Saccharomyces cerevisiae S288C: one gene and its partner. Changing the gene in region 2 together with the main gene of any one other region gives a genetic interaction. Each region holds a gene or a part of one and is shown on either strand. Other genes may lie near its edges.

The links. Genes that interact genetically often act in the same process or in processes that back each other up.
Region 1: mutations in SRO7 (region 2) and SYS1 together harm fitness more than expected from each alone (negative genetic interaction), as found in Saccharomyces cerevisiae (5 studies listed by BioGRID).

What each region holds. Positions count from the first base shown.
Region 1 is NC_001142.9:430,928-434,014, forward strand, and holds SYS1 (Sys1p), read right to left. Parts: upstream 1,274-3,087; coding exon 662-1,273; downstream 1-661. Other genes in the region: CYR1 (adenylate cyclase), read left to right, coding at 1-310; COX16 (Cox16p), read left to right, coding at 1,717-2,073; dolichyl-diphosphooligosaccharide--protein glycotransferase subunit OST1, read right to left, coding at 2,294-3,087. UniProt on the Saccharomyces cerevisiae protein: Necessary for the targeting of ARL3 to the Golgi. Involved in protein trafficking. May serve as a receptor for acetylated ARL3.
Region 2 is NC_001148.4:632,280-636,040, reverse strand, and holds the start of SRO7 (Rab GTPase-binding protein SRO7), read right to left. Parts: upstream 1,919-3,761; coding exon 1-1,918. Other genes in the region: NTO1 (Nto1p), read right to left, coding at 2,280-3,761. UniProt on the Saccharomyces cerevisiae protein: Acts as an allosteric regulator of polarized exocytosis by promoting the targeted fusion of vesicles with the plasma membrane.

The sequences.
Region 1 (3,087 bases), on a different chromosome or scaffold from region 2:
ATCTATAATGTCAGCTTTAAGCGGCGGATTTATTGAACTAGACTCTCGGACGGAGGGAAGTTATATTAAATTTAACCCTAAAGTTGAAAATGGTATTATGCAATCGATTTCTGAGAAGGATGCGTTGTTATTTTTTGATCATGTAATTACTAGAATCGAATCCAGTGTGGCATTATTACATTTACGACAACAGAGGTGTTCAGGACTGGAAATTTGCAGAAACGATAAAACATCTGCTCGAAGCAATATTTTCAATGTTGTTGACGAACTTTTACAAATGGTTAAGAACGCAAAGGATTTATCAACTTGAGTTCTGTTCGTAAATTATGTACCACCCTGTTACTCGTTTCATATTCACGCTAGAGAAGTACCTCAGCTTACTAGATCCATTCACACATTGCAAGTATACTAAAACTATATAAAATTTAAGTACGTAAACTCTTTACTTATTATTATCTTCAATGTCATCACGTACTTAATTATGTTAAATATAGATTGTGTATAAATAAGAAATAGGATCTGTTTTGAAAAATTGGCCAAAAAGGCAGATTTATTAAGCCTATAGAGATAAGGTTCTTGCCATTTTTCATACATTTACTGTTTTCTCTTGAATGACTATAATATTGCCAAAATTGCCTCGAATATGTTGTTTCATCTCCTCTCATATTTGGCTTTCTAAGTCTTTTAGTTGTATTGGTGATTGCTCCAATTCTGAATGATTACTATGCTGCTGACTAGGCGTAACCAATCCAACTTCTCCTTCATTAGGATCAACCAAGCCCTCAAAAAAGGTGTCTCTAAGCTCTCTCCATCTTGTTGTCCATGTCCCCAAAAATATTAGTATTAAAGATGATAAAATTTGAAGAAAAAACCAAGAAAAAGAAGGAAATTTCCGAGTATAGAGGAACACCACAATAAAATTGATGGCATGTATAGTGATAGCAAAATCCCATGCGAGTTTACTCCGTCCAACGATAACAGTTAAGAAAAAAACACATATTAATGAATCCAGAAGCCATAACAGTGAGATTGATAAACCGTATGCGTTCGTAAAGTCGATATTCTCCCAAGAAAACAGCCATTCCTTGATATTGAGATCATATCCCGCTAGCTTCGCCCAACAATAAAAAAGAACGATCGCTGTGGTGTAATAAAAAATCTGTAAAAGAACAATTTGAAGTCCAATCTTACTTGGAGAGAGAGAATCTTGTTTGAAGATCTGGGAAGGTTTCAACTCATTCGGCACTCGCAAATACCTTCTTATCGAAACCATGTTACAGTAATTCAAATGCCTATTTTTTATCTCACTTCTATGTGTACCCTTCCTTAGCCTTCCTAAAGATCATCTCTTAACATGAAGTTACAGAATATTACCGTGAATATCGCGAGCTACGAATATTTTGGGTGGGGAGATATTTATTCATGATTAGCCTTGTCCTATAGTGTTACAATGGAGCAAATTGTTCACCGTTAGTATTTTGAATACGACAATATTAAATGAATAATAGCGCCTATCTCTTGTTACGTTTGGCGATTTGTATACCTTGTTAAATAAACTGATTAAAAGCCGGGTTATGGCCGTACACAAGTTATTAGAAAGCAAATACACTTCCTTATATCTGGTCACCTAGTTAATAAAAGGAAGTCTTTAATTTTGGCAAAAACCACTATATATATTAGTCAACAACTGAAATATTACCAGAATTTGTCTCCTAAATGTCGTTCAGCGGAAAAAAATTTAGGTCTAGAAGACAGCAGCTAGTATATGAAGCATCTTTAGCGGGGCGATACAAAAAAGCATTGAGTAAGCACCCCTTTCTTTTTTTTGGTTTACCATTTTGTGCAACAATAGTATTGGGTTCGTTTTGGTTGTCAAGCTTTACAGCGATCAAGTACGAGCAAGGCGATCGTAAAGTTCAGGAAATTAATGAAGAGGATATCTTGAAAATAAGGAAGAATCAAAGGGAATTTGATATTAAAGAAGAATATTATCGTTTACAAGGTCTTTCTGAAGAGGATTGGGAGCCTGTGCGCGTCGCTAGGTTAAAGGATGAATCTGAGAATGTCTGGTAACATTCAAAACGTGAACATCTTTGTTATTCTTCTGTCCTTAAACTACTAAACAAAAAAAACTATGACCATTGATTGTGCAAAGAAAAGACCACGAGAATGTCTAGGAAATGATTGTAAATACCTTTATTCATTGGAAAATTCTTATCTATAAAACTTATAAAAAATTAAATACTGAATTTATTGCTCTGCATCATAAGGTATATATCATTCAAACGTGAACTCAGTTAGTTACGTTCATGTTCAAAGTTTTTAAGACAAAAACTCCCATTAGTGCGGTGAAAATATAGCAAGCAATAGACAGAGGCTTCTTGAAAAAAGAGCTTTTCGGGTAGTCGTACTTTATCAAGACTTGGCCATTGGCAACTTGACTAATCAAATTTCTGTAACTGAAAGTTAATTTAACGTGACCTTTATTTAGGTCAAAGTATGATTTCTGGGTTTCTATAGAAACATTTGTAAAAGGGACTGGAGAATCAATATCGAATATTTCGGCCCCTTCCGGAAGAAATACCGATAATTCAACATTATCATATACAGTGTCCGGTGGGCCGTTTAGAATTGGGATAGAAGCAACGAATTTCTCGTCTGAGCCAGAGGATACATGCAAGAAATCGGACAATTTATTAGTCCAACCGACAGTAAAATTGTAGTTCCAACCTCCAAAGATTGGGAATCTTGGTCTTATAAAGAAATGGTCACGTTCTGCATGCGACGTGGAAACAAGGCCAACCAAATCAGTGAAATAATGATCAGTAGCTCCCTCAGGCAGGAGCATGTCTAAGACAGTAACAAAGTGAGTTTGTCTCATATTCTGAGTTTGAATCTGTTTCATTAATTCTAATCTTGAAAATCCTTTAGACAGTTTTGCGGCTTTGTTTGTTAATTCATAATATTCCTCAAATTGTATTGTGGAAGCCCAATGAGAAAGCCAAATATCTCTTCTCAAATTCACTACCTGATTCAATGGGGCATTGTGGGAATAAACAATTGCTAAGGTTTCGTTTGAAGAAAATC
Region 2 (3,761 bases):
CAGATGTTTTCCCTTTGTTGGCATGCACGGCAGTTGATGGCATAAATCCCTGCCTAACACCGGTAGGTGCCCTGTCTCTCACATCGACGAGAACACCATTCGTATTATTCAAAGAAAACCGCCTGAAATTCATCTCCAGGTCACCGCTTTCTGGTCTGTTCTCAACACTGTAAAACTGGTTTACTTCATATTTGAATAAAACAACGTCTCCTGTTTCAATTGACACCGCCAACTCGAGAGTCTCTGCGGCAAAAGATATCTTATCAACTGCTAGTTCTTTGGCCTTGTTCAACGTTCTTGATAGATTCACTTCAAAGCTAGCATTATCTTGTATATCCCCATGGGAAGCATCGTATATCCTAACTGAGCCATTAGAATGGCCGGTAATGAATGCTGTACCGTACTCAGCGGGAAGTTTTTGCCTTTTTGTTCTAACCCCTCCCTTCAACAAATAATCCTTGTTTTGAGCTGCAGAAAGCGCACCAAGCCATAATTTGTTTGGTACAGAAGCGGCCATTGAAGTCGTGGCTAATGGTCTCAGCCAGGAAAGATTTTGAGGGAATAAAGAGGCTTTATCTGTAAATATTCCAGAAGGATATAGCATTGTTTCTATCTCACCGTTACCTAGGATTAACAAAATTAACCCCGGATTATGACATCCTGCAAAATACGGGGACTGTCTTGGAATTGGTAGTATATTCACTATTGGCACATTGGTTGGTAAGGGAAATATCTTCATTTGTTTCGGATTTGCATAGTAGTTCTTCATACCTTCATAAGAGGTTATTGAATATCTAGGTGTGTAACCGAGGTCGATCATAGTGAGACTTTGATTATCTCCTCTGCTGATTGACTTATGAGAGATGAGTAGTGAAGTATATTCTGGATTGTTTTCACACATCCAATACACTTTCGAAATTTTGGCAGCATTAGTACTAGAATCGCGTATGTAATCAGGTTGTGGAACATTGATTTCTGTCTCAAACACTGTCCTTGCCATGATCATATGGCCTGAATTAGCATCCCAGAAAACCAAGGAATTGTCTTCATGAATAGTGATAATGTGCAGTGAATTAGGGTGATATAAGGACTGAATAACTTTGGGAGTTCTCTTTTCATTGGTTTTTTCTGAGAAGTCGCCTCCTGGAGCAAAAGGTGGTAATTCGTATATGAAGGATTGTTTGATTTCGTTCTCAACCAATGAGTATGTTAGAGTTACATACTCATATGATATTAAAACAGTTCCAATATCTCTAGGGTTCCACTGAATGGATACTATAGGTGATAGTCTTGCAGCCGGAAAAAATGAGCTTTTTTGTAGGTTGTCTAATTTGAAGGAGGAAAGTTGATCCCTATCTATGTCGTAAACTATCATTGAACCATTTTGAAGGCCGATTAGCATCCAGTCTAAGGATGCATCTGTGTCAATTGATGTTATTTTCCCCGGAACAAACACTGTTGTAAGTACTTTTTGAGAATATAACGATAAAACATACACAGTATCTTTTGCGTTAATGACCACCAAATAGATACCTTTCACAAATCTCATTTCTTTTATAGCAGATCTATCCTCCAGTTTTATAACCACTTCCACTTGTTGCTGGCCATAAATATGGACTTCCCCTGTGACTGTAGCAATTGCCAATAAATTTTGGGTGAAATCGAAAGCGGCTGCGATCGGTTTACTGCTCATCCCATATTTGTTGGTTTCTGCTAGTGAAAAAATTTTATTTTTGTTATTTGAACTTATAGGAATCTTCAAAGAAGAGGAAGATTTCGCATCTTTGGAAATAGTAGATGTCTTTGAATTTTTGGATTTAAAAGACGCCTTTGAGTTCTCAATGGGTGTCTCTGAATTTTGGCCTTTTAGGGACTTAAATGCTTCCTTAACATTTTTCAGACGTTTGCTACCGAACATTTTGTTTTGCTCTTATGTGTATAGAGAATTAGTCAGAAATAGTATTGCTTGCTCTTCTTGTTTTATATTTAACATATTCCAAGATTTAAATTCTAACGTGATTAGGTTCATTTCGTTTGAATTTTCATTTTTTACTTTTAACAAAAGCGCCGAACAGGATTCTAGAAATTAAACAAAACCAACTAAACTATAAAAACGGATATTTAGTTCGGTATTGAAATGCTAAAGAATAAAGAAAAGACGACCTTTCTAAGTTATTTTTACTAAGTGTTCCATGAAAGTAAATAATAAGCCAAACTTTTACAAGAATAGCATAAAAATACATACTCATTATACATAATGCAATATTAAAACCTTTATTTTATCCGCTGTTAAGGATTAGCTTCAGCATACGGTGTTCCCCTGCACTCAGTTCTTCTGCATCGCTTAAACCTTCTTCTTCCATAATCACCGGGCCACTCCATGGTCTTTCTTCTATCTTGTCATCATTTATTATAAAATCTCTGGATAGCAACTTCTTAATATCTACATGTTCTATGAGCCCAATTAAATTTGTTACTTGCTCTTTTGCCTTTGATGAGACAGTTTGGAGTATTCTTGATGCACCGGGTAGAGTTTCCAAAACCTCAAAAAAATGCATAATTTCCTCCTTAAAAATTTGGACAGTATCAAAATCACAATGTTTACACTTTTCTAAAATAACCAATAATTTAGGTTCAGTAACCAATCTTTCAAGAGCCTTGAATTGTTCAGATTTTATAAAGATATCCAGTACATTGATTTTTAAAAGATATTTTTGGGGCGATTTAACTATATCAAAAACCTTCTTTCGGGATCTGGACAAGCTGTTTGAAGCTTGTGTTCTCTTTTTCACCAAAGTAGTCAGCTCTTTGAGCCGGTACAAGTCTTCGAGCTGATCATTGGCAAAATCTATTCTTGTTTGCACTTGTTCCTCGGTTAAGGACCCCAATGAATTATTTTCAAAACAGGCAGTTAATGGGGTACCTCCTGTAAGCTCCCTTTTCATTGACCAATATTTGCAAATATCAAATGCGCCTGCTGGTGGGTTAGCTAAGCCAAAAAAATCAACGACCTTTTGCAATATTTCAGCAAAAACATGTGGTGCTACCGGCGTTTGATTAGGTGTTTTCCAAATTGTTTTGTTGAATTTTGAATTTGTCCTATCATTAGCTTCATTATGCTGAGGAGTTTCGGTTTGTAATGTAGAGAGTAGAGAGAAGTATTTTCTAGCTTTATTAATACCTTCTATACTCGTTTGCCATCCTCTAGGTGCATGCTTGTGGCAGAAACTTTCGACTGAATACTTTTGGGAGAATTGATTAGAGGCCAATTCTTGAATAGTGCATTTCCCTTTACTCATGTAGAGACCAGCTCGACGGGCACACGTGACATGATATGCTGTAAAACAGTTTCTTTGAAAGCACTGAATGCAAGCACCCATCTTCTTTTTACAGATGTAGCAGTTAAGTTTCCATCGTGATACGCTAACATTTTGAACGCCTTCTATAGGTTCCATATAATGTAAGTTTGAAAAGTATAGCTCTGGAAGCCATAGAGCACAAATGTTATGTACCCAAGAACCGGTGTCTGTTTGTTTGAATGCACCTGTATGACTTGGACACATTAGACAAGTGGCAAAGTTATTTTTTGAGATCATACATCGTCTACATAACCATTTTCCTTCCGGGATAAAAATTATACCGTAACATTCTTGATGCACAGCAATATCGCATCCATCACAAAAGACAATTGTATTCAGATTGTCACTGTCTGTGCCTAAACAAACTGCACACGCCTGGTCCATCGATAAACCTGTTCCATC